Linked DNA regions of Arabidopsis thaliana. The protein of the gene in region 2 interacts with the protein of the main gene of each other region in a pairwise test. Each region holds a gene or a part of one and is shown on either strand. Other genes may lie near its edges.

The links. The genes of interacting proteins can lie anywhere in the genome.
Region 1: the proteins of PTR2 (region 2) and NRAMP4 interact in a protein complementation assay, tested with the Arabidopsis thaliana proteins (one large-scale study listed by BioGRID).

Annotation. Positions count from the first base shown.
Region 1 is NC_003076.8:26,859,321-26,864,926, forward strand, and holds NRAMP4 (natural resistance associated macrophage protein 4), read left to right. Parts: upstream 1-1,945; 5' UTR 1,946-2,501; coding exon 2,502-3,025; intron 3,026-3,162; coding exon 3,163-3,299; intron 3,300-3,382; coding exon 3,383-4,260; 3' UTR 4,261-4,577; downstream 4,578-5,606. Other genes in the region: HOS15 (WD-40 repeat family protein), read left to right, coding at 319-477, 565-686, 799-873, 957-1,010, 1,106-1,179, 1,280-1,354, 1,435-1,654. UniProt on the Arabidopsis thaliana protein: Vacuolar metal transporter involved in intracellular metal homeostasis. Can transport iron (Fe), manganese (Mn) and cadmium (Cd). Regulates metal accumulation under Fe starvation.
Region 2 is NC_003071.7:485,198-491,052, reverse strand, and holds PTR2 (peptide transporter 2), read right to left. Parts: upstream 3,656-5,855; 5' UTR 3,512-3,655; coding exon 3,455-3,511; intron 3,200-3,454; coding exon 2,882-3,199; intron 2,804-2,881; coding exon 2,247-2,803; intron 2,172-2,246; coding exon 1,346-2,171; 3' UTR 1,112-1,345; downstream 1-1,111. Other genes in the region: AT2G02050 (NADH-ubiquinone oxidoreductase B18 subunit), read right to left, coding at 718-1,029. UniProt on the Arabidopsis thaliana protein: Peptide transporter. Mediates the transport of di- and tripeptides. High affinity, low capacity transporter. Can also transport histidine.

The DNA.
Region 1 (5,606 bases), on a different chromosome or scaffold from region 2:
CACTAGCATCTCTATTTTCTTGAAATTAATCTTATTTTTACTATGAATCAATGAATATGCTTAGTTATTTATGCCTAAATTAATATCTCTATGTTTCCTTCTAGCGTGAGCTACAAATTGTGATGTTCGAGTTGTGTGGGCTTTTGATAGTAACACGACACAAGATTGAAACAATAAAAGCTATCAGCTAGTAAAAAACATTATAACTCTGCATTGGGTATCATATCCTTGGCCAAAAACATTTACTCCACCTTCTGTTATGTATTGGAGAGTCAGCTTCTAAATTACAAATTACGTCTTTCTTTTTCACATTTCCAGGTGAACTGATAAGTACTCTTAGCAAACACAAGGGACCTATTTTTTCCCTTAAGTGGAACAAGAAGGGGGACTATCTTCTAACCGGTAGTGTTGATAGAACTGCTGTTGTTTGGGACGTAAAGGCAGAGGAGTGGAAGCAACAATTTGAATTTCATTCAGGTGCAATTTTATTTCTTTTTTGATTAAACATCAATTTGAATCAATTTCTCATGCATATGACATGGAATGAATTTTTTTTGAAAATAGGTCCAACACTTGATGTTGATTGGCGCAACAATGTATCTTTTGCAACGAGTTCCACGGACAGCATGATCTACTTATGTAAGATTGGAGAAACTAGGCCTGCCAAAACCTTTACTGGGCATCAGGTTTGTATCTGTCATCCAAGTTTCTCCCATATCGTATCAGTATGTTTAGTTTTCTCAGTCGCAAGTAACAAATGTCTGGTACTAACCAAACCCATGGCTTCCATAATGGCAGGGTGAGGTCAACTGTGTGAAATGGGATCCTACTGGTTCATTATTGGCCTCATGCTCAGATGATAGTACTGCTAAGGTTCTTTGAATTAACTTGAGCATATTCTACATTTCTTTAAGTTTCTCTCTGCCTCTTTTTATAAATGTATATTTTTTCTTCAGATATGGAATATAAAACAAAGCACCTTTGTTCATGACCTCCGAGAGCATACTAAGGTAAATCCATAAATCCTCAAAAGTCTTAAGGAAATTTCAAATATATTTTTGGATTTTGAATAGCCTCTAAAGATGGATATTAATCTTCTCTTTAGGAAATTTATACAATCAGATGGAGCCCTACAGGACCAGGAACTAACAATCCTAACAAACAGCTAACTCTTGCAAGGTTACAACACGCTTTAAACATTGAATACTTTAAAAACAAAGCGTCATTGTAACATATCATTCATCATCTCTGTGTTGTTGTTGTTGTTTGAATGGAACAGTGCATCATTTGACTCAACAGTAAAGCTATGGGATGCAGAACTCGGGAAGATGCTCTGTAGTTTCAATGGACACAGGTAAAAGTTAAACCTCAATGTACTTTTGCGGGGTTTAGCTGTAAACCGTTGGTTATAAGTTTCGTTGTTGTGATATGAAGGGAACCGGTTTACTCACTGGCGTTTAGTCCAAACGGGGAGTACATAGCGAGTGGGTCTTTGGACAAATCGATACACATATGGTCGATTAAAGAAGGTAAAATCGTAAAGACATACACAGGAAATGGAGGGATATTCGAAGTGTGTTGGAACAAAGAAGGTAACAAAATCGCAGCTTGCTTCGCTGATAACTCAGTTTGCGTTCTTGATTTCAGAATGTAGTTTTCTTAATTGTAGTCCTAATAACACTCTCTCAGTCCAAGGTGTTTCTTTTTGTTGTTGCACATATCTATAAGTTATAACACTAAATTCGAAAGATGAAACTGTACTTGAGATTATTTTTGTTATTTTATCTATCATTGCAACTTTTGGGTTGACTGACGAGTAACAATGAATTGAAAGAAAACAAACTGCATAAGATTACAAGGGTTACTACATCCATATCTTTGAATTTAGACCACAAAGCTAGATTTGAATTGAAAGTGATGTAATGCAATTGAGATATGAGGACATCAACTATGAAGGTGTCTTTATGTAGTAGTAGTAAACCGTTGGGTGAAACAGTGAAAGTGGATGATGGCGCGTGGCGAGAGCTGACGGATTCGTGTAACCCCCAGGCCAAACACGTTTCTACTTCTACTTAACCCATTCCCTTTATTTATTTTTGTTTCTGTTCACCACGTCGCATTTTTTAATCTGTAATCATCACCATTAATATGGTCGACCAAACTAGTAATTTCCTTGAGCACCATACTTTTGTGTGAGGATAATGAGACTCCCAAGAAGAAGACTCGATAATCCCCAAGTTACACGTTCTCTCGACTTATTGACAAATCTATCCCTGCGCTTATTTACCATTCACATATACTGCCACTTCTTATTCTGACGTGGCGTAATAGTATTGGATAAAACGGTATTATCTACCCCTAAGTCGATTATAGTATATATATAAAGCAACAAAGCAGTTGCAAATTTCAAGATAGTCGTCACTTTAGTCGCAGCACCACCACCAATTTCGAATTTAGCATTTCTGAATTCCGACTCTGAGAATCGGCGGTTACCGGGAAATATGTCGGAGACTGATAGAGAGCGTCCGTTATTAGCATCGGAGGAGAGAGCTTATGAAGAAACCGAGAAAGTTCTCATAGTCGGAATCGACGAAGAAGAAGACGCTGATTACGACGATGACCCCGGAAACTCTCCTAAATTCTCATGGAAGAAGCTTTGGCTATTCACTGGACCTGGTTTTCTGATGAGTATCGCTTTCCTCGATCCAGGTAATCTCGAGAGCGATCTTCAAGCTGGAGCCATCGCTGGTTACTCTTTGATTTGGCTATTGATGTGGGCTACGGCGATTGGGCTTCTGATTCAACTTCTATCTGCCCGTCTCGGTGTGGCGACGGGTAGACATCTGGCGGAGTTGTGTCGAGAAGAGTATCCGACTTGGGCAAGGATGGTGCTTTGGATTATGGCGGAGATTGCTTTGATCGGAGCTGATATTCAGGAAGTTATTGGTAGTGCTATAGCTATCAAGATCTTGTCTAATGGATTGGTTCCTCTTTGGGCTGGTGTTGTTATCACTGCTCTTGATTGGTAAGTGTTTTTTTTTTTCTCAATTTGGTTATTGATTTAGGAAAAACCCTAATTTTTGGAATTTAGGGTTCTTTATTATTGTTTGTTTGGTATCTTTAGTTTTGATCCTAACATTGTGTGTGATGGGTTAATTGCAGTTTCATCTTTCTATTTTTGGAGAATTATGGAATAAGGAAACTAGAAGCTGTGTTTGCTATTTTGATTGCAACAATGGCTCTTGCATTTGCTTGGATGTTTGGTCAGACGAAACCCAGTGGAACTGAGCTCCTTGTTGGTGAGACTCTAAATATTCCTTTCTTTTGTCTAGTGTGTGGAGATGGGAGTACAAAAATGGTAACTGTTCATGTTTTTTAACAGGAGCATTGGTCCCTAAGCTTAGCTCCAGGACTATCAAACAAGCTGTTGGTATTGTGGGATGTATTATCATGCCTCACAATGTGTTCTTGCATTCAGCACTTGTGCAATCCAGAGAAGTCGATCCGAAAAAGAGATTCCGGGTCAAAGAAGCTCTCAAGTACTACTCCATTGAATCCACTGGTGCTCTTGCGGTTTCTTTCATTATCAACGTCTTTGTGACCACGGTGTTTGCCAAGTCGTTTTACGGGACAGAGATAGCGGACACCATCGGTCTTGCAAATGCTGGACAGTACTTACAGGACAAATACGGGGGTGGGTTTTTCCCGATACTGTATATATGGGCGATTGGAGTCTTAGCTGCTGGTCAGAGTAGTACCATCACAGGTACGTACGCCGGACAGTTTATAATGGGAGGGTTCTTGAATCTCAAGATGAAGAAATGGGTTAGAGCCTTGATCACAAGAAGCTGTGCAATCATACCAACAATGATCGTGGCGCTTGTCTTTGATTCATCGGATTCTATGCTTGATGAGCTCAACGAATGGCTAAACGTTCTTCAATCGGTTCAGATCCCTTTCGCTGTGATCCCACTCCTTTGCTTGGTCTCCAATGAGCAAATCATGGGCAGTTTCAAAATTCAACCTTTAGTCCAAACAATCTCATGGATAGTAGCTGCTCTTGTGATAGCCATTAATGGGTATCTAATGGTGGATTTCTTCTCAGGAGCTGCAACGAATTTGATTTTGCTTGTGCCAGTGATCATATTCGCAATTGCTTATGTTGTGTTTGTACTTTACCTTATCTCACGAGGACTCACGTACACTCCTTGGCAACTAGTGGCTTCTTCACATAAAGAACCACAGAGGGATGATGAGTGAGTAAAGGAAAAGCAAAGAGACCTTTTCATTGAAGAATAAGAATAAGAGAGATTGCTCTTTTTAGTGAAACAAACAATAGAAAGTTGAGTTTCAGTATGGTAACAAAACAATGTCCTGATGTATTTGTATTATAGTGTTTTATGGTTTTTAGAGTATAGCTTTGGAAGAATCCGAATCGTATCGTTTGTGTAAAACTTCCGGCGTTTCTTAGAATTTTGGCAGAAATAAAACGTAAACATGAAGTTCCTTCTTCAGATGTGCGTTATTTCATTTTCTTTTAGATAGATTTTTTTTTTTTGGGTTTAAGTATATAAGTTAAAAAAAAAATCTTAATATTTATACATTTAGATATCTTGATGTTTTTCAAAGTAATAACGTGAACTCTGGTTTTGAATTTCTTAGAGAAAAAAAAAATGGTCAAAAATGGGGAAGAAATGGTCAAAGATTAATGGAAACGCGCTCGCATTTAATTTGATGTTTAAAGGTCACAAACAATGTTTAGTCGTTTAGGGGAAATTCATGCACAATTTCTTTGATGCCACGATAAGCTTTGATTGCAAATTTAAGTTAAAAAAAATTCTGGAAGCTAGTTTTATCATTTGATAATGAAAATTTCCTGGCAAACGAGAGTCGAGTCGAGTCGAGGTATTTAAATACATCACGTAAGTTTCGTTAACTGCCCCAAATTAAATTAAAAACACAGGAGCAGCTTCTCCTAATCCAAAATCCAAAAAAACAAACATCAAAAAGTCAAAAATTAAAATATTTAAATACATAACCTACCTAACAAGGTTTGACGCAAAACCCGCCACGAGTCTAACGCATTTATTAAGAGAAAGTATGCACCAAAAATATCGTTATTAATTGACTAAGTAGACCGATAAAACTTTATTTAAGAGATTAATGGAGCTCATAATAAATAGCAACAAAAATCTTTGACGATGAATGATTTGGTCTTACCGCGCTTCCACGGTTCTAATCTTCGTCGTCCTCTCTGATAAAGAGACAGAGAGAGAGAGAGAGCTGAAACTGCCATTTCCGCAAGGTAATTCATCATTCTTCTGTAGTCTTAAGCTTTGTTCCCGTTCCATATATCTCTGTTTTTAGAAAGTTGTTTCTGCAGATTCCAAGTTGTGTAGAGTTCGCTTAATTTCCTCAGCAATGAATCTTTTTCGTTTTCTTTGTTCGATTCAGAGTTTTTTTTATTGGGGTTTTATTATGTTGACTCGAGGGTTGACTAAGCATCAGATTCTGTCCTCAGCTTTATGATATTGGTTACAATTATATTCGTTGAATTTTCAGCTTAGCTTTGAATGTCCTAAACTTGTTCTTACTTGGTGTTCTTG
Region 2 (5,855 bases):
TGAATTGTGTCCTGTTAAGCAGTGAAACACTCTTATATCCTCTACGGGTCTGTAACACAAAGTCACTGTAACAATTGCTAGTCATGATATCTGAGACACTATTTACAAGTTCATCGAACATATAACTTGCAAACATAAAAGATATAGTCTAACGAATTGAATTGTGTCCTGTTAATCAGTAAAACACACTTAAATCCTTATATAGTCTAAAGGTTCCAGCAAATTAGTGCTACTGATTACTTAAAGACTTATCTATTAAGCTTTGAAAAGGAAACATCATGAAAAAACAAAATCTGTAGAAAATCCAGTCAATGATGGAATTTTCCTTATCCAAACTTCAGATATCATTGAGATACTTTACAACAAGAAGTACAAAGTCCAGACATTTCTCTAACATGATTGATACAGAACAATTGTGATTGCAGTCTAAGAGAAATTGAATCCAATTGTAGTCAAATGTTCACAACAGAGGCAACAAAATTGCTAAGACGAGAGAATTCACAATTCAAAACCAAGATAATGCATTAGACATCTAATTGAACAAGCAATCTCATTTATTCCCAATGAAACCCTAATTTGGAATTTGAAGAACACGAAGATCTGATCATGTAGCAGAAGAAACAAACCAATTCAATCAAATCAACCAAAACACAAGAAATCGAAAAACTATAGACTAACCGGAATCTGGAATCGGCAAATTGGAGAAGGAATCGAATCCTAAGCATTAGCAGTTTTAGGGATAAGAGGAACAGCAGCGTTTCCTTGTAGTTTATTCTGTTTAGCCAAAGCTTCTTCTTCACGGATCTTCTTCATCGCAAGCATTCTCTCCATAACAAGCTCGTATTCACACTTCTCATAAACGTGACGCTCGTCTTCACATTTCCATGGAAGGTAAAACTCAGCCTGACGACATTTGTTGAGCGGAATCAAGAGATGAGCGCACATATCTCTAGATCCAAGTGCTATTTTAGCTGCAGACATCTCTTCTTGCGTTGCGATCATCTTCTTCGATGAACCTGGAACCTCCATTTTCGCGATCCCCAAACCTCACAACGATACTCTCTTCTTCTTCTTCGATTTTATTGACCCGGAACATTCTTCTTCTCCGGGTCATATTTGTGCCCGTTTGATATGGGCCAAAAGCCCATTTGATTTACTAAGCCTATGGACAATTTCTCTCAATTTAGTATTCGAACCCTGAATTGTTTATAATATTGCAAATGCGACTTAAACTTTTGAAATTGAAAGGAAAAGTACACAGCAATGTTGTTATTGATACAGAGACAGTTACAGTTGAAAGAAACAAACTTTTGTATGTAATGAAAGTAGATAGATAACAGCATTACTACGACGAAGCTTTCTTTTGCTTATACCTAGCAGCAGAGAAGAAGTAAACCGCCATGTTCACAAGGCTAAGACCAGCCAAGAGCCAGAAGAAGTAATCGAGATGACCTGAATTGAGATTATCCGAAATCCAACCTTCTTGCCCATTTCTTGTTGTAAAATAAGTCACGAGCGTGAGGATCAACGAGCTCAAGTAGTTACCAAGTGCATTGGTCAAAAGAGCCAAGGCACTGCACAAGCTTCTCATTGCATCTGGAGATTGGTCGTAGAAGAACTCGAGCTGACCGATGAAGTAGAATACTTCGGCTGCACCGAGAATGAAGTACTGTGGAATCTGCCACAAGACGGATATGGGAACTGGGGCTCCTGACTCGACTAATCCAAGATCGTTGGCCATATGGAGACGGATGATTTCGACGATAGCTGCAGCTGCCATACAGAGAACAGAGACAAACAGACCAATTCCCATTCTTTGTATCTCAGTGAATCCTTTGTCTACTCCTGTGAACTTTCTTGCTAAGGGAACGATGAACCGGTCGTAGAGCGGCACCCAGATGATGACGCTTGCTGTGTCGAATGTCCCGAGTGCTGCAGGAGGAAGCTGGAATGATCCAATTTTGCAGTTCATGGCTCGGCCTTGTTGAACAAACATTGTGGACATTTGTGCGTATACAGCTGAGAAAATGATACCAGAAGCCCAGATTGGGAACATTCGGATCAGAATCTTGAGTTCTTCGACTTGCGTAACCGTGCATAGTCTCCACGAGTTGGAATAATCTCCGGATTTCGATTCTTCTTCTGAGATAACAGCGGCTTTGTCAAGATACCTGCATCATACCAGAATAACTTGTTAAACCAAGTAAAGCTATACATTACTGGAAAGCAATGAAGCGGATATTTACTGGCAATCATCGGTATGCTCGATTTTTCTACTTCCAGCAATAGCAGAGTTCTTGTCTTGAGTTTCATACAGAAGTGTGGCGTCTTCAGGGACTTTGACAGACGATTTCCGGAACGAAGCAACCACGACTTGGGAAATCCGAGTTATAGGGCTTCCTCCAGGTTTCTGAAACCTATAAAGAGGTGTGCCAAAGAAGAAACTTGCAATGGCTAGTCCCATGAACACTGTTGGTATCCCAAACCCTAAACCCCACCCGCGATTCTCTTGAATCCAAACTAGAAGACTAGATGACACAAGTGCTCCAATATTGATGGAGAAGTAAAACCAGTTAAAGAACGAAGCTTTTCTAACTCGTTCCCGAGAGTCCGTGTCATCAAACTGATCGGCACCGAAGGATGAGACACACGGTTTGATACCTCCAGTTCCAAGAGCGATCAGGTAAAGCCCACCAAAGAACATCGCATACTGAGCTGGCGTTGCAGATGGACAAAAGTCACCAATACATTCCGCTGGCTTCAATGCCGGAACTGAAGCTGAAAGAGTTAACGCAGACATCCCCTAAACAAATACAAAAACCTATCAGTAATCAGGAGCAAACAAACCAAACCAAACATTACACAGAGAAGCAATGCTTACGATGAAATAAATCCCGGAGAAACAAGCGATGGTCCAGTAACGTCCCCAGTAAGCATCAGCCAGAACAGCTCCAATGAGAGGAGTGAGATAACAAGTCCCTTGCCATGTGGTAACGTTTGTAGCAGCAGAAACATTTCCTTGGTGAAGCTTAGTGGTGAGGTAAGTGATTAAATTCCCAGCAATACCATAGTAAGCTAGCCTCTCACAACATTCATTACCAAGAATAAAAGGACAAGCTTTCCAGTTTCCTGTTTTCTCCTTCAATGGTGGGTTTCCATTAAAGTCCACTGAACCATCTTCAGCATACAATTTCACTTCCTACTTAAAACAAATTCACAAAACATTTTTGATTAGCTAACTAAACTATAACTGTATCAAAGCTCGAAACTTTGATCTATATCTACTTGCAAAATTCAAACATTGGAATCATCAATTAGATAAAACAGTGATTGCCCAGAAAAGATCTCAATAAACCCAGAAAGAAAATGCATAAGATCAATCTAAAGTCAAGATTTTGGAATTGAGTAAAATCAAAATTCGCTAACCTAAGTGATTAATTGAAATTGAACAAACCTGTAAAATTAAACCTTCTTCGATGAGAGGTCTTGCTTCTTCTTCGATGGAACCCATCGTTTTCGTTTTTTGAGCTGAACCAATTTAGATTCCTTACGTTGAAGCTACCTATCTAACGATACTCTATTATTTATCGGAGACGTGACGGCTTTTTATTTTACTTTTCCCGGCGACTTATTGGAAAATAAAAATCAAAACTTTGATTATAATAAGAGAAGTAATTAACAAAACTCATCTTTTTACGAATTTTTTGTTATTATTATGACGTAAAGATAGAATTGTGGATCAACCTGTTACCTGTCCATGTCTCAAGTTGTTGATATCACTCTAATCAAGAATTTTTTTTTTACATATATGTGTTTCTAAAACAATACATCATCAATACGTTGTTGATATCAGTAAATCGTTTGGGGACTCAGATAACAAACAGTAATTATCAGCCAATCTCTCTATAAACCCTGAAAGAACAAGAATGCTCAATAATATGTAGCTCAAGTCAGCAAAATTAGGAGAAATGGAAATTAAAACTCGATAACCTAGATCATTAATTGTACGTTGAAACTATATAAACTCTCCTATTATTTTTTGGTAAATGTGACAAATTTTTTATATTCCTTTTCCCGGCGAAATTTGTTTTTATTGGACTATAGACATCGGCTTTGTTTACATATTTTTCTAAGGTCTGTGCTTAAACTTCAAATGGGAATTATATATATATATATATATTTTCTTTGTGATTCACATAGAAATTAATTTGTGTTTTTATCACAAAATCATTTCATAACTATATGTGGCCAACTTTGATTGATTCCACAACTTGATTCATAGGGTGCATAGAGAATGTGGTACGACCATCTATAGATTCATCATCCATCATCTCTTGTAAGAACAAAATCATTTGTTTCTATATCAAATAAGGTGTTATAAAAACTAAAAAAAAAAAGATTCTCCACAACTTGAGTCCATAGAGAGTGTGGTACTACGACCATCTATAGATTCATCATCCATCATCCCTTGTAAAAACAAACTCTTTTGTTTTTATATAAGATAAGGTGTTATAAAAACTAAAAAAAAAAAATATTCTCCACAACCCAAGAGAAAATTCGGTAAAACAAACAGCTTTGAGAAAATGAAAAAGAACACAAATGTATGGTGCAAAGAAGAAACTAGTCTCAAGAGAGAAAATATTGATTTTATCTAATACTCTACAAAAACCCAAAACTCTTGAAAACATAACATAATTTTCTCAAATGTATTGTGCAAATAAGAAACTAGTAGAAAATAAATGATAAGATTGATTAGCTATTGACTAAAGAAAACCTTTAATTCTATACACAAATTTTTTCGAGAAAATAATTTACCTTTCGTTTAACGAAAGATTAGAATTTTTTTTTACATTTAGCGATACTTCGCTGGGATAGAAGAAGTGATGCTAGTATCTTATCCCATCTCTTAAGTCCGTAATTTTTTATCCCCTCGAGTAGAAGAACAAGTAGAAGATTATCTTCCTGCGATTTCATTCGTCGTATATTAAAAAGGGTATATAATTTTCTCGAAAAGTATTTGAGAAATATAAAAATAAGGTGTAGATGAATTGAAAGAGAGATGATAGATGGTTTAGGGCAAACAAGTGAAGTAGAGTCTAGATTATATAGGTTTGTGTAAGTATTTGTTTTTTACGTGAGAAATTATTTTAATGTGGGCTTTAATATTATTAGTAAGTAATGTGTGGCTTTATTCTTTTGCTCATTTGGATGATTAAATTAGGCAAAATTTTCAAACTCATTTGACTAAACATAATTGGACAATTTGAATGGAGATGGATTAGTCAAAATAACAAATGACAAATATGCTCTAATTCTTCAAACGATCATTTTGTTTATAAAATTTTATATAGAAAAACTAGATAATCACAGAAAAAAAAACAAAACAATCTGCCTATACGATTACAAAGTGTTAAGAATTTATATGCAATGAGTCGGAATCCTAAACTAAGAAACATTTTTTATAATGATCGGTACAAGTATGTAACCGATCAGTTCTGGACATCTTATGTACTGACTCTTACGATTGTCAAGGTCGGTCGTGATCTTCAATCTTTTTTCATTTGATGCATTTTGCTGATTTGCTCTATTTTCCTAAACTCCCAGTTTTATCCAAACAAATCCAAAAACTTTACTTGACAAGAAAATTCAATAATATATACTACAAAGACATAAAAGTGTTAAAAATATATAATAATTTAACAAATTTGTTTTAGTTTTAGTTTTGTGAGTTTGTTAGTTTGTTAAACGGAGTTGTTAACAAATTAGTTGTTTTCTTGAATTAATCAATCTACTTGTACAATTGGTTTTATTAGTTAACTGAGTTAGTTTCTCTCTACTCTTTCGTTTACGTTCTC